Neodiprion lecontei: one gene and its partners. The protein of the gene in region 3 interacts with the protein of the main gene of each other region in a pairwise test. Links are inferred from orthologs where the notes say so. Each region holds a gene or a part of one and is shown on either strand. Other genes may lie near its edges.

Region 1 (7,605 bases), on a different chromosome or scaffold from region 3:
AGCTATCATACATACATTAGATTCAAGGATTTACATAGATTTGCATTATTCTTAAAGGATATCGAATGCCTACCCCAGAAGGTACTCCAGATGAAATTTACCGGTTAATGTTACGCTGTTGGGAGTACGAGCCAGAGAAAAGGCCACATTTTGAACAGATATACACCGTTGTTGATACATTGTCGCAAGCACTGTAATGCCTAATGCAGCCCACTTGTAACATCTGACTACGGAAAACATTAGAGCTTCTACCGTAATAATTCACCTTATTACCCAAATGACGGGTTTACCAATTATAGGTTCCTTTATACATGACTTCTTTTGCTACTCAAACACACACACTTATCTACTTATTTGTGTATATTTTAAGCAAGCGTGCTCAAGTCGAATCTAATTCACTTCTTGTGAAAGATACTACGACGGTATGAGAATGTGAATATAATTTAATTGGCCTGCATGGAGTCTCAGTATCACCCCAGCAAAATGAGAAAAAAATTGATTAGTCGCGGTTATATGGGGTTCACCATAGTTTTGTTTTCATTGAGGTGCATTTGCATCTACTCCAATATAAAATAAAATATTTCTTCATCTGATTTGAGCATGATCTTTCAATACAACGCAGCTTTTAAACAGTGTGTGTAAGATATTGTTTATTACTTCTGAGCTGCAATATTCGTCTGTAATAAAAGTAGAGTTAGGTTTTTTTTTTCTCAAGTAGTATGTTAAACAATGACAAGGTGAACTAAGAATTTAAGTTTTATATTTTTAATTTCTTTCAGCTACCATACTAATATTATATAATGCAAAGATTTTTCTGATAGGAGATTTTCAATAAAATAGAATAATAATTACGCTGCTAATTATGGCATCCATATGTACGTAGGTTAAGGAAAAAGCAGCTTATTGTTTAAGTATTAAAACCGTATTTCTCGTGATAATATTTGCAGCTATTTTTGAAAAACTTTTACCCACAAAATTGACTTAGTTTTAAATACTTCAGGAGATTAAATTTTTTGATAAAATTATTACATTTTTATATCTTCCACATTAATTAACGGAAAAATAGTACGATTCTGTGAACATAATACAGGCGTTTTTTAGTTTTGTGAATGTAAGTAACATTCTGCAAAGCGAAATATTTCTTTCAAAAGTATATGTTCAATTTAATAGACGTCTATCTAACCGCGTAAATTATATGTCAGCTTTCCATGCATCAATTGCTTTAGAATTACACTAAAATAGAATCTTTTTAAACTCGAATTTCAAAATAAATCGCCGAATCCCAGAAACATTGCTAAACTGAAAAAAATGAAGACAATATTACTGCCATGTAGACTGTTTAGCTCCCGTTGTGGTGCATAAACTCGGTTGAGTCTGCATTAAAAATTTCATTAAATGTACGCTTAGCGAAATTCTACTGAATTTCTTGATTAATATGATTTTTGAATTCTTCCAGTCATTTATTCATATATCTCATTTTTCCTTGAAATGCAAGAAAATGACGTTCAATATTTTAGAACAAGTCCAATAAAAATGTATAAGTACTTTGAGCATCAGCCGTTGTTGCTATAAATGTTGATAATAAATAGTGGTCAAGACATGTCGCCAAATTATGTATTAAAACAAGAATAAACTGAATATCAAATGTAATTCTATTTGCAATAGGGCTATACTACTTCGAGAACCTCTGCGCAGGTAGAAATCATTTCTATTTGCTAATTGGAAAGGTTGACAACTGACTAGCGCGTTTGTATTATTTAATAATGTTACTTTACATCTCATTGATATTAATAATTTACCATTGTTGGAAGAAATGATTATTGATATGTTATAAGTATTTTAAATATCAGACGCTATCATTCTTATAAGTTAATGTCTATTGCTGTGCAATATAAAAATCGTTTCTATAGAGTATATTCTTTAAAGTTGCTAATCTGAATATGGAATCAGTCAACTAGGAAGAAGTTATGGAATAATGTATATTGTTTTATTCATATATGTATGTGAATTACAAATGAACAAAATAATGTACGTGATTCTATATACATATGTACGTAGATTATCGTTTTTATTATATATATAGCCATTACAGGCAAGAATATAGTCAGTTGATGTTCATTTAATTGTTAAATTTTATTCGTTTGATAAGTCTAACATTGATGGAATAAAAAAGCAATATTTTAACAAGAAAACCATGCTTTTATCTTCAAAGATGTTAATTTATTTAGTATTCCATAACCAATCCGTACGTTAATTTAAAAAATTCAACGCTTCAACTGATTCGAATTTATTTCTACCTGTACAAAACATACATAGAAAGATCTGGTTGTAACTGCAATCATATAACGGAACTTTTTTCCACTAACTAGGACTTTGTTCACGGAGAGAATTGAATGAATTTTCGTAAACCTTCTTAATATTCAAGCAACTCACGAATCGAATACCCCATAATAAAAATTTGGCATCTAAAATGAATTTGAGTCTTATATGTATCTCGTATTGCAGCCTTTAGAGTATATTTCAATGGTGACGTGAAAAATAGTAATCCCTGTGAATGCAGGACAAAATTGTTTCATTTTATAAATAAAGTTTAATAAGTTCGTCACTAACAGCAGATGGAGTCAGTATACCAAGATCAGTGAATAAAAGATTTATATAAGATGGTGGAGTGTAATCAACTAATGGATGTTCTCGGTGTAGATCCTTTTTCAGTGTACTTGCTGTGTACTGTGGGAAAAACATACACGTATAAAAATACTTCGTATATGGTTACACTTTTTCAATTTATCTCAATCTTGACAACTATAATAAGTAGATTCTAGCACACGTGCATATCGCGTGTCGACATTGTCAAAATAGTATCATTCGCCACTAAATTTTGACTGATTCATAAATTTAAAACAATAAATCAATGGTAAGAGTTTGAAAAGCAAAAAGAAAGTAGACAATAGTTTCTCCCACAGTTTAAACTCACTTTAAATTCGTTGGGGAGATCAACTTGATTTAGAGGATATATTCGAGAAAATTTATAACTTTCAGTCAGGACATAAAAAGGTTTCTTGATCTCCCGAGCACACATCGCCATTGTGTAAGTTCCCACCTGCAATTAGAGAGTTACGTGTTTTTTTTATAATTTTGTGTAAAAGTAATGGAAAACTCTACAGATGCAGTTTTGTTCGTTGCATCTCAGATCATACCATGAATACTACCTCGTTTATTACTGTTACATAATATATTACGTCGACAGAACTTATACTTGCTTTATTAATTATTCCACCGCTCTCTGCAACTCCCTCAGCTCCAACCATTACCATGTCAACTTGCTCCATAATGTAACCCATTGCCGAATCAAGTATTAACGTACATGGCACATCCAGGAGGGTCAAGTCTTTGCACATTTCCTTGCTGTACATGAATCACGTTATTCATATTTCTATTGGGTCTATGGTAAATTATAAAATGTTGTGTGATATATACAATGTTAAAATTTTATCAAATTATAGCTCACCCGCTATTGTTTGGGAAAGACTCCGTGACATAAACTTCGAACCTTTTATTACTAGCTACAGCTTCTTTCATAGTTTGTAAAACAACTCTGGATTTGGAATGTGTCAATATCCTCTATGCAAAATGAATAGTAATTTAATTCACAGTAGTTGAGTTGATAGTGTTAATTGTACTGAGTGCAAATTTCTACGTCAGATGTGTGTACAAATGAATTCTATTTTACACATTTTGAGAGCACAATCTAATTAGATTCTATTCACACTATATACGTGAAAATTTGTATCTTATTTAAATATTAATCAAATCATCAGAATATCATCCTTAGAGTCAGTAATCACCGAGTGAAATTCTTTTACTTACCGAGCCATCTATTATAAACTGTGCAGCCAGTTTAGCCACTTTACCACGTGCAGCAAACAACTTATCGTAGAAAAGCTTCCCCCGCTGAATCATAATCCGTTTACAGTCAGCAAATGGCTGCATGTAAGAGCAAAATGAATAAACTATACGTGTATGGTAAGATACTTGATTTGTTGTATGTTTATAAATACGATTTTTTGAGAGCAGATCAAATAATACAAATGTTATATCCTGAGTACCATCCAAATACTCTTATAAAATTATTGTTTTTTTATACCCTTTCTGTCAAAGAACCTGCTATGACTTGAGTAAAATTGATTAAAAACTGATTGTGTATTATCTACCATACTTATTTAAAATCCTATCGATCGAATGAAGTATAAGTATAATTTTTTAAATCTCGGGTGAACATTCTCTTTATTTTAAGTACGACTTTCTAAATTAAAATAAGACACTTACAGAATTATCCAATGTGGCCAATGTAATGAAACGGAGGAAAAGCTCACAACCCGAAGCAATACCAGTAACAGGATGATCGGTAGATCGCATTGTATCTACTGCATTTTGCAGACACAAATGGAGTTCCTGAACTGTTTCCGCTAAACATAATAATACACAATCAAATAATGAAGAAAGTATAGCCTCATGAAACCATAAATGGACGGAAATTCCATTTTCACCTACAAAGCAGCATAAATTTACAGCCTTAGTCTTTGTTAGTTGCATTCACTTTGTTAACCCTACAGCTCGTGACTGAGGTCCAAACGCACCCCACACAAACTTTAAACGATGCTGAGTGCGACTACCGCTACGTGGTTTTCAGACTTCGATTGGGTTTTCCATTATCTAAATCTAAATAAATTCAGATTTTTCGTACACCATTCTCTTCCTTATGAAAAAACGAAGAAAACCATGCATGAGGAAGTTTGTTTATCAGCATAGGACCAGTTTTGTCATGCGTTTGAAGGTAATAAAAAATAATCATGAGTAGTAGGGTTAAACATCATTATTGAGACTACGAAAAATTACTCACAGTCAGAGCGTTCCAAAACTTTTAAAAGCGTTTGTATTGCAGCCATTCCTGCTGATATATCGCTTTCATTCTTCATAATGCGGTTAAAAAATATACAGATATCTGAAAGTGTATTTAAATAGTTCCTTAGTTGTTGGTTAAGTAGGCCATATTTTTAATCAGTATCTAAATACCTTTTTGATTCATACTGTCTGGCATTTTTCGAAATGTTATCAGCTATCGCGACTCTTCCAATACTGAAGTATTATTGTAATAAAAGGCGAGAAAATAAATCACCAAACATCTGTGCAGTCGAGACAATTTGAGGTTAACGTCACGTATTTATTGCATGCTTAGAGCTGCTCCATTCCCGTTCACCGTGTCCGTGATCCATAATTGATGATGCAATCGGATGAACGTATCGTGGAGTACCTTCTTGTGGCTTTTGGAATTCACGAAACTGTACCGGTAGTATAGTTTCTATTCACAAGTTTTTCTCATTCACAATTAATCGAACGTGAATTACAACGCGTAAAGTTTGATATTTACTTATGTCAAATGAACATTGAGCGATAATAATTGCATAGCGTAAATTTTAAACAGAACAATACGTAATATACATACTCAATTGTACATACGAAATCTATTTATGTACGACATGATTGAACATAATATAGCATGGTGCCCTTGCTGTTTGATACCAGGATTCATGAAATTTCACCATCGAAGCTAATCTTTACTTAAAAATATATCAAGCAAGATTATTTTTACACTTTATAGTACAACAATTATACTCAGCCACCTCGAAAGCTTCTGACATGTGATCAAATAAGCCTGTTGCATTGAGGTTATGTGTACTCTGTACATCTTGAACGGTAGATATTAATTTTGATCGTCAATGACAGTAAGCTGAATCTAATAACGCAATAAAATGAGTAATAATCTCGACGATATTGACTTGGATGATCCAAGATTCCGCATCAGACCATATCAACAAATGGTGGCTTCGTGTACTGGAGCATTAATCACATCACTATTTGGTAAGTATACATACAAGTAGATATGCAATACCGTAGTATTCCGTGATAACAAAAAAAATTTTCATGTTCAATTAAGGCAATTAAATGTGTTCCTTTTTTTTTAGTAACACCGCTGGATGTTGTAAAAATTCGACTACAGACGCAACAAAAAGCAATGCTCTCTAACAAATGCTTTTTGTACTGTAACGGACTCATGGACCATCTCTGCCCTTGTCTAGATGAAAAAAGTCCACCTTGGATGCGCGCTAATGGAAAATTTAATGGCACGCTGGTTGGTCAAATTTTCAGCGACTCCTTGTTAACAAATATCTTAACTTTTAATCTTTCACCTCCTTTGGTGACGATCTTTTCACGAATTAACACCAGTGATCATTTTATTCCATATTTTTCTTAGTCGCCTCCATTTTTACAGTAATAAAACCATACGACTTGTATCACCGCCATTTATATTTGCAGGACGCGCTAACTAAAATTAGTAGAACCGAAGGTGTATTATCACTATGGAGTGGGTTGAGCCCGACTCTCATCCTGGCAATACCAGCAACTATAGTATATTTTGTATCTTATGAACAACTGAGGCTATTTTTCAAGGTAAATATAATAGATTTGATTATATCTGGGTATGGCAGCTATTGTCTATGTAAACTGACCAAGACCCTTGTCAAGTTTCTACTCATTCGATATTCTGAAAAACAGTTTCAGAGCTAGCATTATACACATTGCAGGATACCTATAACAGTAGGATTAATAGTGGAACTAATCATTCGGTGCAACCGTTCTGGATTCCAATGTTAGCTGGTGGCACAGCGCGAATTTGGGCTGCATCTTTAGTAAGCCCATTAGAGCTTATTAGAACAAAGATGCAATCGCAAAAACTGAGTTATATCGGTAAATTGATACTAACTATATTCATAATCACTATTCTTCCAAATTCAGAATATCTATGCACGCATTACATTTAATGAAAATTTTATTCCAGAAATCGGACAAGCTTTAAAGACCGTTGTTAAATACAGTGGATTTTCTGGTTTGTGGATGGGTCTTGGGTCTACATTGTTGCGCGATGTACCGTTCAGTGCTATTTATTGGTTAAACTATGAAACTATAAAACAACAGTTTCGAGGAACTCAACAAACATTTACATTTAATTTAGCAGCTGGAGCTGTAGCTGGTTCTGTAAGTTAATTACTCTCCAAGGAGAATCGTATTCAATTCCATTTGAAGTTGTTCTGTTCCTACGTTCAACCAATTTTATTTGTTTATAGATAGCGGCCTTAGTGACTATTCCATTTGATGTTGTTAAAACGCATAGGCAGATAGAGATGGGTGAGAAAGAAATTTATTCAGGTAAATATACTCAGACTCAATATTAATATTATGATACTGGAATTCTCAGAAATCTACATTTTACTTGAGAAAACTTATTAAATTATTTATTTATGAAATGTAATATTACTATGGACAATTTCAATAAACTAGGAGTGAGTGATAAGCTTGCCAATACAGACTTTGGTCCAAAGTTTTTAAATCTAATAGAAATATAGACATATTATATGCACAGGCAATACAGTATTCATACAGTAATCCATTAATCAAATTATTTTTATTTCATAGAAAAACCCGGCCGTAGCAGTGACACTCTGTCAATAATAAGACGAATCTATTCCCAAAATGGAATCAGAGGAT
Region 2 (8,518 bases), on a different chromosome or scaffold from region 3:
TGATAACCAGAGTTTAGAAGCTTACCACCATAAATTTGTGCAGCGTAGAGTGAAGATTTCTTCTCGGGTTTATTTCACAAATAGGTAAATGATACTCAGTGCGTTCCGACAGCAAAACATGCATTCTGTTACTATAAATGGAGATAAAAGATGTTAATTAGTGCACAAACAACTCATGTAGTCAATCACACTTAATGCGCATATGAATATATAATAATAAATCTTACGTTGCTTTCTTTTTTATGCAAACAATTAACTTCAAATAAAGCCTACTGTGGGGATTGGCTATAGGAAGTAATGGAGAATGCCATGGTGGGTTAAGGCCTTGTTTGTACTCTCTAACTCTATGTATCAACGGTATGATATCATATGCTCTAAGTGACAATTCCTCAACATTTTGAATCCAACAAGCCTGTAGTGATTCTTCGTCAGCTTGTTCAGGAGTCTTTAAAGCACCACCAATCACATTTCCAGTCATAACAAATCTGAACCAAGATCCAGTCGCGCATTCAACGATTACCAATGATTTTGGTTCAACGATAATTCCCGTCTCTTCGAGAACCTCTCTTCTGAATGCCTCTGTCAATTCCTCGCCGGGTTCAACCCTTCCTGCTGGTAGGTACCATTTTCCTGCACAGGAGGCCTTTGCCTCCTGCATCATCAATACCTCATCATTATCGTTAATTAGTACTGCTGCGACTACGTATGTCACAGTTTTTTGACAAATTGGAACGTAGTCAGAGCTTGCAGTGGGTTGAATTCCTTTGGCTTCTGGAAACGAAAGTATCGTGTCAGTCAAAGTCAACGAGCTATTCATTAAGGCTTCAAGTGCACAAGTGATTTCGTATAATTCTAAGCGATTTCAGACAATGGTAGCTGATTACAAAATACTACGTGTAATTTCTCGCACTTTGCATGATTTCATGTGATTATACACTTTTTTATGGGACTTTGAATTGATTTCATATGGATTTCACACTAATTCATGGGATTTCATATTGATTTCAGAATGATTTCGTGATGAGTATGGTGATTTTCATGCAATTTTGGGGTGTACACAAAGAATTTCACAAGAATTCACATACCATAAATGTGATTTGACAAAATTTCATACTATTTTATACGGTTGATCATGATGATGAAAAAAAATTATCTTTCCCCCTTAAACACTTCAGGTTTTGTACAAAACTTTGTCTTGCATGTCTTTACGTTTGTGAGGTAATCACCTGGGATGATTAGAACCTAGGACCCTATATGAAGTGCTCTAAAAAATTAAAATTCAATACATTCGGGTTGGTGTTTATTGTGAGTGTAGTACTCCTGGGCCTTACGATTTCAAAAGTATGAATCGAATGATTTCAAAGCAATTTCATGATAATTTCGTATGAGTTTAAGATTTGGACGAGAATTCTGATGTTTTCGGATGATATTGAATAATTTCAGCTGATTTCAGCTCAATTCAGGTGATTTCATTCTTAACATACTACGATTTATTTCTTAATGCAAGCAACTTCCAACTGATTTCAATCTGGGATATATAGCTGATTTGAAAAATGAATAGCCCCTTGGTCAAATTACACTGAAAACAGGTGTTTGATCATTGCGAATATCTGTAATTGCACTAATAATATTGCTATGTTCGAAAAAAGCATCAGGTTGATATGAAGCAACTACTTAGCGATGAAATTAATAAATGATAATCCTAATACTCATAAAATTCGCTTTTCTGCAATACTGGTGATTCAGGGACCCACAATTTCTGGAGTACTGTTACACGAAATAAAATTTTCAATTGCAAATAAAGTTTGGATGGCTTTCAAATTTTTATACGACAAATTAAACGAACGAAGGCAGGTGAATGACCTCTAGTGGCACGCTATTGCGATTGCCAGTTAGATTCTTGAAAGATGCGTATAAATTCTTCCCATCCTTACCTATTGACTCATTTTGTTCAGCAAGCGTAAAGTCGCACAGATCATCGTTGTCATTTATACTTTGTCCATTTAACACTAGCCTAATCTTGTCTTCTATGGTATCAGGCATTTTATTATAGCTAACGCTTGTTAATATTTCTATTCGCAATTAAAGTACACGTAACGATTCATAACTGTCGTTGACTAAACATGCTGCTTCGTGTTATCCCCCACCATCAGAAGACACTTTTGCACACACACACACACGCGTCAGAATAATTCTGGGCACGTTCTCTTCCGTAAAGCAGGCCGGAGGGGATGACCAAAGATAACGACATGAAGGCATCAGAGAAGATGTATAAAACTTTTTTCGAGCATGCTCCTACTGTAGTTATCTCTATACCCACAGGCCGTGACGTTCACTCACATCACTCACACCAGATCCTGATGAATCGAGTGCACGTGTGAGTGAATCTACGCCCTGTAGTTGATCCCGCAGCGGTAGTACGCGGCTTTTCATGTGTTTGGATTAATGCCTAGAACCCAAGAACCGATGAGTGTACCTCGGCAACCTCTCCAACCTCTCTAACATACGTCATTTTTAGTGCTCGGCAGCACTCGGCAGCTCCAGGCATTAGACTTAGCTCTGCTCTGATGCTGCGTTCGCGCAACAATAGACCAAGTGCTGACGTATGGTTATACCTAGCCACCTAGGTAGCGCCACTGGTGGCACAAAGTCAAGATAGGGAGTAAGCATATAGTAGCGCGCTCTTTGAAAAATTTCTGAACTAAACGCAAAGCTAAGCGGAGGCATCACTAAAATTCTCTGTAAATTTCCATAACTTTCCAAACTTTCTTGTGCTCTGAAAGAAGCGCAAAGGGAAAGGACCAGTTTATTGGCAATAAACAGGGGGATGCTTGTTGGAATTTTGTATTAATTGATGTGATATAAGCAGTGAAACCTTAGCTACGTGAAAAATGTCATCACCGGATAGTACAGTCATTTTTGCTAAACTAGAAGCACTCAAGGATATTAGGTTTGTACAAGATGCACGGAAAACAACAGTTATTATTCTGCGTTTATTGCACGGATCTGAATATTAGAAATGGATGCCTGAAAAGACGAGAAGTACGGTCATTTGTTTGAAAAAATCAATCTTCATAAGTTGTCGTTCAGAAAATACATTATTTGTTATTTTTCTTACTACATTAAACCTCAACTCACTTAATTTATAATGTGATAAGATACGTCATTTCGCTACAACCAATCAATATCCACTGTTAACATTAACACCAACTATACATTTTCATTTAAAAAATGCCCTATTATATACAACAATTTCATTATTCATTAATCAAACATTCAAAATATTCCACAGATTGTTGGGTTTAAATTTTATAAAAATTACACATTAGATAATAATTGTCAACAACTACCCATGTCTTAGAAAAATATTGGTTGTAATATGTTCACTCACCATTCACACAATGTTCAGTGTCTGTTGTGAATTATTTGATGCATTGAAATCTTACAACTAATTAACACCAAATTTAAAGATACTGATGTATTTTGTAATTGCATGCGAATTTCTTAGGTCAAAGACATTGCAACTAGAAAAAATGAAGCAGAGAATCATTCAAGAGGTAGAACAGACAGAACAGGAGGAGAAGTGCTTGACAGAATACAAGCAGGAAATGGAACTTTTAATGCAAGAAAAGATGGCACATGTTGAAGAACTCCGACAAATTCATGCCGACATCAATGCGGTGAAAAATTCATTTTTACATTCAAATTGACCACATTAATTTATGCTGCTGAAAAATCAATGACATTCGTAATGAAGAACAACATTTTTCTATGTATTCACATTATTTTCATTTCCACAATGTTATTGGCAAAGGATTTCGATAGTTTTAATATATTTCTTATTACACAGAAGACCCTAGAATTTTAGGACAATAAGGGAACCCTGAGGAAATAACATAATTGTAGCAATTTGAGTCACATGTTTGGATTATTTTTCAGTTGTGGTTGGAGTAATATCTGTTTATGTTTTTTCTGAAGGCAGATCTAATTCGATGGTTGTCTTACTTTGCTATTCTTATTCATAGTCTTTGAATTCATAGTCTTAAGTTTAAAAAAAATGATATCAACAATTAAATGGATAATAACTTTCATTCGGTAGATGGAAACAGTTATAAAGCAAGCTGAAGATGCTCGCAACAGAGCTAGAGAAACAGCAAAATTAATCCATAACAATGACTATCAACCACTAAAGCACGACATCGATAGAATGCGTAGAGAATACTTGGGACTTGAAAGACTACCAGAGCTCTATGAAACGGAATCAGATCTTATTTCACCTGAGTAAGCAGATTTCTAACTATTAAATTACTTAATGCGATCCGTAATAGTCTTGTAAATTTATTCTTCAATCCAAAATCCTCAACTCAGATTGACAATTTATAACTCAGCCATGTGCAAAGCGAGTTACACGAACATGTTTTGAGAATACAAAAGATAAAAACAATTTATTGATCTGAAAAATGTATTAACGTATGTTAAATATGGAATAATGAAACTAATGAATAATGAATAATAATTATAATTGTGTAGACGGTTTGCTCGTAGCTATTTTGACCGCCCCCTGCAAAAAGCAGAATGGCGAGTTGAGGTAAGGGGTGATGATTTAATGCCTCCGTTGGGCTTACACCCCCATCCCAGCCACCAAGGAGGTCCAACTCCGTTTTTAGCTCCACAACCACTACAGGGTCCTAGTAAACCAGAGCCTAGGCCTTTGCCTCCAGCTCCTGGGCCCCCAGCTCCAACATTCAGGTACCACTGGTATATCTTCACTTTCGCATTACATATTCAACAGTAGTATACAGAATGGGGCAATATTATATAAATCGGTTGTTCGTATAATATATCTTTACTTTTACAAACTGCCTTTGGATCATTCTATTAGGAATGCACAATACGAGTTGCAAAGAATAGCAATAGATTTTTGAGCTGATTTGTGGATTAGTGTGTTAATTTTCATGTCACATATTTCAAGACATTGTTCAGTTTCTTCAATTTGTAGTGTTTGTTGTAGCAATATTATTCGTATTGGAAAGAAAATATAATGGTGCTCTGTTCTGTATTTTGTATCAATCCTTCTAATTTCTTATCCTTTTTTTTCAGGCAACAACCTCCACCAATGAAGTCGTGTCTATCCTGTCATCAACAAATTCATCGAAATGCACCAATTTGTCCTTTATGTAAAGCTAAATCACGTTCACGTAATCCTAAGAAGCCTAAGAAAAAAGACTAACGTGTAGGCTTGAGTTTATCATTAGCTCTTGAACCTACAGCCTCCAAGCATCAATTCGAGAAAATATAATTATTTCATAATAGTTATTTTCGTCGCAAGTGCGCATAAAATAGGGGTTTCTTGACGAGTGTAAAGTACGAAACTCACACGAATCAAGAAGTCCTTATATGCGTACATAGCACAGATTCTATTTTCTGTGATACCTACTGTCAAAAACTACTAAATAATCGAATTGTTGACGACGGTAGTGCAGAAAAAGATTTCTAAAATATTTTTTTTTATTTTTTAACTGATCTAGTTCTGAACGTGTGTTTAAAATTAACGAGCTTATGAATGTAACTACAGTATTTTAATTTACTATGAACTTCATTATTTGGTCGAATTCACATTTATACAAAATACAAGGTGAGTCATATTCAAACTCTGGGAATTTGAGAAGCTTATTTGATCAATGGATGCTGTACCATAGCCGATCAGATTAGTAAACAGGCAGACCGCATCAAAGAAACACTAATATTGATATCGGAGTGAAATTTTGATGGTCCAGTGTTGGCGTTGTATGACAATCAAAAAACGCAACGACAACTACAAGTGTCCAGATGCTGCTCAAACTGGCAATAAAAGACGTCCTGTTGAATATAAAAATTTAGTCGGAAGATTTTGAGAAACCAGTTGGCATCTAAATAAAGTAAACTTTGACAACAGATTCAATATCATTCAGTATTACTAGTCAGTATCATCACGTTATTTTTCTAGAGCAGCTAACTGTTACATACATTTCTTGCATCAATGAATATGTGGACTAGCTCCTTGTTTATGGCGATATCAATATTGACATACGTTGCTTCAATATGGTTTGCCTAATCATTCAATTGATCGACTGTGAAGTGACGCCTATTGATCAAGTAAGTTCCTCCTGTTCACGGAGCTTGTACTCACTCACCCTGTAATCACAGAATATAGACTGAAAGTCCAAATCAGAAACCCAGTTAAAGTTATTGCGTAAATGCGTCATTATTGTGTAAATAAATTTTATTTTAGATAGCAAAATGAAATTGAGCAACTTTGAGTTATAGAACAGTAATTTGTTGAATAGATAACAGATCCAGTGATTCGCACTCTAGTTTACTCAATCATCCTCCAATACACACAGTTTGGTAATTGTACCATATTAGTTCGATTTGCCCTATGCAGTTACTTGCAATTGATAAAGTTCGCACAGTGAAAATTCGAGCTCCCTGTACTAATCGGAGCAACAATACTGAAACCAACTATTCAAACAGGTTCCGAATAGTTCATAAAATATCTAATGACTGAAGATTCCAAAAGCCTGAAATGTGAGTATATTTGAGTGTATAGTAATAATTAGCTCGATCGTGGTTCATCATAAGTAGTACACAAGTTGTTACACTGTTGAATTTATGAATTACCATGTACATTATTGCAATTTTATATCTACTTAAAGCAATATTATATGTAATATTGCAATTACGATCTTGAAACTAGTGTGAATAATCCTTTATTATTAGGTATCTTATTTAAGGAAAATTTGCGTATCATGAACTTTATTCAACCCCTGTTGAAATTGCATAGATACTTTCGGAGTTTGTTGGTTACTGAAAGTCCAAATTATTTCATTACATAACTTGAATCAATTCAGTGATAATCGAAAAGTAATTAATCGCACGAATAAGGTACTGGAAAATATTTATTTTTGAGTATGTTGAATCCCTTCTCTGCCACAATGTATTCAATGATGACGTCGATGAAGTTACTTAGTTCTATGACTTATACGACAGTCAGAAAATTTTGTAATCTATTCTACGAGTTATGAAATTATGAAATAATGTGTGTCATTACGTTAAGATATACAGAAAAGACGGAAAATCAAGCTAATTTATCAATCACAATATATAATTATAGGTTGAAATTGTAAAACCGAAGGACAACGACGTTAACTCGTTGTTATATAGGTGTCATATTTTATTCTGTCGCGATTTTTATCTACCGCGTCCGAAAATGCAAGAGATTAACGTTGCTTTATCAATAGGAATAGGAATTCAACACATCGTACACTGGAACTTAAATGCAACTAAATCTGTACCTTTCTTGTAAACTTTAATAAATGGAACACATGTTGTCGACAGAACTGGTAGATTCATCAGGCATAGGAGTAACAATACTGTCCAATATGAATTTCAATGAGTGCCATTCAAAATATTTCCCTAATTACGAGCTCTTCGAACATTGACCTGAATTTAGGAATTTCCAACAATCATCCCAGACTGAGAAATGGATTTTTGTTACAGATATAATAAATCTAAATTTCGACTCATGATTGATGTCTGATTTATATTCGTAAGATATTCTATTGAAATTGTTCGTTCTTCTACAACGTAGAATTAGATAATGTGGCAAATGATAAAGAAAAATTGTACTTATAAATATTTCACGTTATTAGTGTGATCTACGTATAAGGGATAAGTAACAAAATTCAAATCTGCCAAACTGTTCAAAAGTACTCCATATTCATTAACAGTTAAAATATAAAATATTACATTCATGTCATCAGTTTTAAACGTCGCATTGGCAAGATCTATCCGTCTATCCGTGGACTGAAATATTTACTACTAATAACATTTGATTTTTTTACGGTTGTAATTTAATACTTATATATTGAAATTATTTAAAAATTACGAGTATATAAAATATTAAATGTATCGCTAAGTAATAATAAAACAAAAATAGGTACATAAACTTTATCAGTTAGAATCACATATGAAATTGATGTTATCTATTAAATAATTCCAGAAAATAATTCATGAATAACAAATCTCATCACTCTATATTGCCATAATTAAACAAGAGGATAACTTGCTGTAGAAGCAATTCCACAATGGTTGTTCTTATTTCGGGCCATCTTGATATACCCGTGGTCACCCCAATCACCACCCCAACTGTTCTTGACGAGCCAATAATCCATGCCATTTTCATCAGTACCGTAACCAACAGCTAAAACTCCATGGTCCAGGTTAGTTTCGGAACAACCAGCTTCATAATAAACACCTGGAAGAATAAAAATCTTTCAATACTGAGTTCAATTTTAGAAATTTAAAATGGAGCTAATTCGCAATTTGTATTAGTGATGACCATGAGAGATTCAATTAATTTTGTATTCTAAAAAGTGTTCACCAGTACCAATTTCCATTAATTCGAGTCTTTTATTTTGTAAAGTTATGAAGAATTAATTACCTTCAGAGTATAACTGGAAGCTTTCATGGGAAGCAT
Region 3 (5,820 bases):
TTTTTTTTATGTAACATTACTGTTATAGAAACTAGTTTAAAAAGAGCAACTTTCAGAACTCATACTTGATATTCATTGCCCATTGCAGATTTACCAGATGGGGGAGCAAATCACATAGCAGCTACTGTTGTAGAAATTAAAAAGCGGTAAATTTTGTATCATGCATTTCATTTGCTACGTTTTCAATGCTGTTTCTCAAATTTACCTTATTTTCTTAGGAGAAAAGATATGTTGGTCGAATGTTTAGTACCAGACTTCAGAGGTAATCAGGAATGCGTAGCAAAAATAGTTGAATCGAAACTTGATGTTTTTGCCCACAATATTGAGACTGTGGAACGTCTAACACCTTTTGTTCGTGACAGGCGTGCACACTATAGGTGAGTTCCAGCGAAATGAGCATAGTAAATAACTATTAATGCTGTTCATTTGCTGAGTAACATCTTTAATTGATATCAACATTTGTCAGACAGTCGCTGAGCGTTTTAGAAGGTGCGAAGAATAAGAATACAAATTTGATAACCAAGTCATCGATAATGTTAGGATTGGGGGAAACTGAACAAGAAATTGAACAAGCCATGCAAGATATGCGAACAGCTGGAGTGGATGCTTTAACTCTGGGACAATACATGCAGCCAACAAAACGACACTTAAAAGTCATCGAATATGTAACACCAGAGCAATTTAAAGCATGGGAGAGTGTAGGAAATGATTTGGGCTTTCTGTACACAGCAAGTGGCCCATTAGTGAGGTCTTCTTATAAAGCTGGTGAATTTTTCTTGACAAACATATTGAAGTCACGTCAAGCTGAATCTATTACACAAGATTCAGCTACCTAACTAGTTATATCCTGAATTTTATAGCTGGTGCAATGATTACATAGTAATATATATAGAAGGAAGTTATTTATACAAGTTGAAAGCCATTAATAATCATTGTAAATAAAATTTATTCCAAAAGGGTGACACGCAACATTTTCTAACTTCTACTTTTAATAATCATAGCAATAATTATTTCTGAACCTGCCATACTCTTTCGGTTACGTTCCCACAAGCGAATAGGTAGCTTGAGCAGGGTGGGGGAGGAATGGATTAGTAACCATCATGTATTTCATAGCCGAATCCTTTTTAGTCAGTTCTTAATAATTATTCACGCGAGGAATTACACAATTCTATTTTTACCGATAATCTTATAATCACATACCATGAAAAGTTGAATTATCTTGATTAATTAAAGTGCACAAACTCTGGAAATATACCATTTTATTTCCTAATTATGTTATTACAAAAGCTTATTCAAATAAATGTTGCTATATTTTCAATACAATTTTCAGTTTACCAACAAGACTGATATCAAGTTATCATAAAGATGAAAATCCTTGCTGCCAACGGAGAAAACGACTTTATTCCGGTGTGATTAATAACATTTTTTTATTGCAACTGAAAAAAGAAAGCATTCACATAGCAATGTAATTCACTCTGTGTCCATCGCAACAGCCGGCTGGGGATCTTGTGGCCCTTGGTCGGCAGGTGGAGGCTGAGGTGGTTGAATATCCTGTTCTGCAGCACCACCAGGACCTCTAGACCGTTTCTCATCCCCTTCAATTTCTGACAAGTAAATTGCTGTAGCAGATTCGTCAAGAATTGTAAACGGCACATCCTTTCCAACGATTCCAATCGATACATTCTGAAAATTGTCATATATTACAGTCAATACATTTGGAATACGGCGCAATTCTAATGTAATGGTAAAAGTACCTTGACTGTGAGATCTACTTCATTGGGTAACGTGTCGCGCAAAGCTCTAAGTCCATGTTTGACAATCTCGTCAAGATCGCAACTTGGGAATTCGTTCAGATGTTTCTCAAGATATGTACGAGCACTCTGAGAACGTGACCCCAGTGCCATAGCTTTGCAATTGAAATAGTTGGCCGATGGACATGTTTGAAAAATGTGTGGTCCTTGATCCTGAAAGGTGATTTTAGTTTGAATCAGTGCTTCATTTCAAAACAAAAATGTATTAATCTCGTTAGAAAAGTGATAAACTTTCAGCATAGTAGAACTGCTTACGTCGTATCCAGCAACAAGAAGTCCTACTCCATACGGGCGTCGATCGTACCTTTGAGTACACGTTTGCATCTTATTACCAAGGGTAGTGATGAGCCGACTCACAGGTAAGACCGAGTCATGCGAGTATTTGTAGTTTAAACATTCAGTTCGCATGTATCGACTATAAGAATTGATATTATAGGTGATATCAAAAATCAGAGTAAATAGTATAAATTTAACAGAGATGAAAAAATACTTGGAAAATTGTGGATATTTTGGCAAAGTTCACAATGCAGTTTATTATATTGATTGACAATATTTGCATTTTTTGAACGCTATATCAATGTAAAATTTAACAGTAGCAGCATTAATTAATTGTCATTTAAACTGATCAGCAAGACAAATGTTGATGTAAAAGACAAACCTTAGCATTCTAGCATCTGCAGTGAGACCAGCAAGAGTGATGCCCATGTGATTGTCAATCGGGATAATCTTCTCCTGATAAGCAGAGAGTTCGGAAGAAGCTCTCTTTAAAGCAATCAGTACAGCATGAGTTCTATTCTTAAGCCCGACTGTTGCCGAACCCTGTTTGACTGCTTCCATGGCATATTCTACCTGATGTAACCTGCCTTGAGGACTCCATACCGTCACGTCGCTGTCGTATTGATTTCGGAACTGAGGGTAATTGGAAAGAGAAATAATATTACAGAATATATTGGAAATCAGGTAAAATGACTTCAGTTTGCCATTTAAATATAACTACGGCCGGGTTCTAATTTTGTGTATGGGGGTTCGAGTCACCTAACCTCGCAAAATTAATGAAAAAAACTGAAAAATTGAGTATTTTAACATTGATTATTAACTCAAAACCACCGCCATATGATTCTCATTCCACATCGTTGTATGATCGGAGTTTTAAAAGCGACTGCAAATCTGTAAATTCTTAAAATCGAAGCAAATGACGAAGCAAAAAGTGCCGAACCTAAAAATTGATGTATTAGAATTTTTATTTCATAATAGATCGGATAATACCAACCATTTTCACTTAATAATCCACAATAGTATGGGACCCGGTAAATTCACTATTCCTTCAATCAAAGTAAAAAGAAATAATGTGCCGCAAAGTAAACTGTCATCAAGCGTCCATGAATGAGACCCCGAATGACAGTGTTAACGCAGACGAGAATACCAAGTCTTAGGAAATCCTGTATGTGTCTGTGTTCTGAAATCTCATGAAAAAAAATTCGGGTAGAGTATCCAGGGAGACGATCGCAGCGCACCTAGCTGCTAAAGTTTCGGCTGATAACGAAAATTTTCAGCACTGTTCAGTACGTAGATAGCCATTGAACGGAAAACAAGAATGTGATGTTTAGCGATGTCACGACGTGTACGTACCTTAGCAACCGTGTGACTTTTCAATGTTGACAACCAATTGCTGTTTGATCGCAGTTTGTTTATCATAAAAAGTGTTTATTTAATATCGTGTGGTGTATTTCCACTTGAATCAGCACCTTAAGCAAGATATGGTAATTATCTGTAGTAAACATTTATTCATTTGCTCGCGGGATCTCAAATATTTGGACTCGTTGAATGCATCTGTGACAAAAAATGACTAATAGATAAGGTAGATTAAATTGAATAATGTAACTAATTTGTTGATCATAGACGTCAGCATACAAGAAACAAATCAATGGTGGAACAAGGAAGAAAAGCACACCAAAGTTTGAACTGACGGAAGAACAAAAAGCTGACATTAAAGAAGCATTTGATTTATTTGATCCTGATGGCACGGGAAAAATTGCTACCAAAGAGCTGAAAGTAGCGATCAGAGCTCTGGGTTTTGAACCAAAAAAGGAAGAGATTAAAAAATTAATAGCCGATGTCGATCCGGATGGTCTTGGTAAATTGTCATTTGAGGAATTTTTGAATCTTATGTCGGTGAAGATGGCAGAAAAAGATTCTAAGGAAGAAATTTTGAAAGCTTTCCGTCTATTTGACGACGACGATACAGGGAAAATATCATTTAGAAACTTGAAAAGAGTAGCTCGTGAGCTGGGGGAAAATTTGACTGACGAGGAACTACAAGAAATGATCGACGAGGCTGATAGAGATGGGGATGGAGAAATTTCACAAGAAGAGTTTTTGCGCATTATGAAAAAGACTTGTTTGTATTAAAACAGATCGGCAATGCTAATTTCAGTTTCAACTTTTATCAATATAAGTCAGCAAGATTTTTACTAACCAAGGACTGCCACTACGCTGTATATTTGCCAAAATCAGTCAAATTTTACGATCACTTGTATTTAGTACAATCTATCTCTATTTTTGTTTGAAAACTATCATTTTAATGTGGCTCTCAGAAAACGTTAAATTGTAATCTCTACTTTGGTAAATACTGCTTATCAATAATATTTTAAATGATCAATAAAACTAAACAGTATTTAACATCTACCTATCAACATATGACTAAATCCTGTGATCGTTTTTCTGATTTTGAAGGCACTGCACAAAGTAAAAGTAGTCAATAAAGAAACAATGTTTATTTTATCAATTCGATTCAAAGTACAGATACTGTTTTTATTGATATAGTGCTTTCTCAGTTTGTCACTGCAGCCTCGATAACTTTTCTGATAAGATCTGCTCTCTTCTTAGACTTTTCCAAACTTTTTGACAATAGTTCTTGAGATATTGGAATTCCTCCTGATGACAAATAATTAGACCTCTAAATGGTTGAATCAATTTTTGCAGTATTATAAATAAAATAATTTCATTTCATTTGATTTAACTTGTTATCATTTTATCCATCGGATCAGGTAAACCCATTGAGTTTGATTTGCATCCAGTACTACAGAGATAAAGAACTCAGTTACTAGATGTTGCAAAGAATAAGGAAAATTGCTAACCAGGCTTGTAAAGGCCACATAATTCTGGTCCGTCAATTACGAGACATAGTTTCCCTTTGGCCAGAGATTCCTCTTCATCGGTTGGATCAGCAAGTAGAAGTTGTCTAAACACAGACATATAATATTGTTTTGTATACGATTTGACCTTACCGTATTTCAATAATGTTTCCACGTAATCCAAGCAAAATGTATACTGATGGAAGATACTTACTCATCAAAAATTGCAAACGTGGTAGATACAGGAAGTGACTTGAGAGGAAATGGTTTTCTGTCAGAAGTGTCTACAACGATGGCACCTGTTTCAGGATTATGTTGGACTTCTGGTAAAGTTACTGTGCAATAAACAGTGGATCATTGTTAAAGCAAATCCATGAGGCTAATATATAACAATGAAACAATTGTAGACTTACAACTTTTAAGTGCAGCTACAAGTGCGCCAAGGCATGCATCTGTAACTGATCCATCATAATCAATGCAAATCAAATCGCAGTAAAGCACCCACACTAGTTTATCAATGCAAACACATAGATCTGTCAAGTCCAGGGCAGAAGAATTTATTAAGATGTCATCTATTGTCTTAGAAGCAACCTGAGCCTGGTCGCTGGGTGGTCCAGGACGAAATTTTGGAGAACACAGTGGTGAGAGTTCGACGTTGGGTATTAAATATCCGCAATTTGGAGTATCGGCTTTTGGAGCTGCTAATTCCTACAATGAGAAGTACCAGCTTGGATCATGTAGACAATTAAACTATCAAGGATGCTTACAGCTTTGATCCCGCAAACAACAGTTGTACTGCCGATCTTGAATATGGCTGAACTATCGGCCTGACTAATAGCTCCTACGTTGACACTTGCAGACCTGAATCGAAGAAA

The links.
Region 1: the proteins of proteasome subunit alpha type-1 (region 3) and translation initiation factor eIF-2B subunit alpha interact in a two-hybrid assay, tested with the Caenorhabditis elegans proteins (4 studies listed by BioGRID). The link is inferred for Neodiprion lecontei from reciprocal best matches to the Caenorhabditis elegans genes pas-6 and eif-2Balpha.
Region 2: the proteins of proteasome subunit alpha type-1 (region 3) and zinc finger C4H2 domain-containing protein interact in a two-hybrid assay, tested with the Caenorhabditis elegans proteins (3 studies listed by BioGRID). The link is inferred for Neodiprion lecontei from reciprocal best matches to the Caenorhabditis elegans genes pas-6 and vab-23.

The regions. Positions count from the first base shown.
Region 1 is NC_060260.1:5,337,012-5,344,616, reverse strand, and holds translation initiation factor eIF-2B subunit alpha, read right to left. Parts: upstream 5,271-7,605; 5' UTR 5,099-5,270; coding exon 5,074-5,098; intron 5,003-5,073; coding exon 4,901-5,002; intron 4,757-4,900; exon of another isoform or gene 4,594-4,756; coding exon of another isoform or gene 4,548-4,593; intron 4,467-4,547; coding exon 4,327-4,466; intron 3,985-4,326; coding exon 3,868-3,984; intron 3,622-3,867; coding exon 3,509-3,621; intron 3,406-3,508; coding exon 3,261-3,405; intron 3,101-3,260; coding exon 2,975-3,100; intron 2,728-2,974; coding exon 2,578-2,727; 3' UTR 1,492-2,577; downstream 1-1,491. Other genes in the region: tyrosine-protein kinase Fer, read left to right, coding at 58-197; solute carrier family 25 member 40, read left to right, coding at 5,811-5,919, 6,024-6,190, 6,376-6,510, 6,645-6,807, 6,899-7,095, 7,185-7,266, 7,534-7,605.
Region 2 is NC_060263.1:27,158,377-27,166,894, reverse strand, and holds zinc finger C4H2 domain-containing protein, read left to right. Parts: upstream 1-2,690; 5' UTR 2,691-2,891; coding exon 2,892-2,950; exon of another isoform or gene 2,951-3,042; intron 3,043-3,508; coding exon 3,509-3,680; intron 3,681-4,099; coding exon 4,100-4,281; intron 4,282-4,530; coding exon 4,531-4,758; intron 4,759-5,100; coding exon 5,101-5,230; 3' UTR 5,231-7,237; downstream 7,238-8,518. Other genes in the region: 8-oxo-dGDP phosphatase NUDT18, read right to left, coding at 26-131, 228-771, 1,935-2,043; cathepsin L, read right to left, coding at 8,088-8,296, 8,483-8,518.
Region 3 is NC_060265.1:2,722,153-2,727,972, forward strand, and holds proteasome subunit alpha type-1, read right to left. Parts: upstream 3,241-5,820; 5' UTR 3,085-3,240; coding exon 3,082-3,084; intron 2,721-3,081; coding exon 2,470-2,720; intron 2,227-2,469; coding exon 2,067-2,226; intron 1,965-2,066; coding exon 1,755-1,964; intron 1,684-1,754; coding exon 1,471-1,683; 3' UTR 1,243-1,470; downstream 1-1,242. Other genes in the region: lipoyl synthase, mitochondrial, read left to right, coding at 89-146, 219-377, 467-836; caltractin, read left to right, coding at 3,569-3,571, 3,711-4,220; exosome complex component RRP43, read right to left, coding at 4,642-4,745, 4,949-5,052, 5,160-5,280, 5,359-5,653, 5,713-5,820. UniProt on the Caenorhabditis elegans protein: The proteasome is a multicatalytic proteinase complex which is characterized by its ability to cleave peptides with Arg, Phe, Tyr, Leu, and Glu adjacent to the leaving group at neutral or slightly basic pH.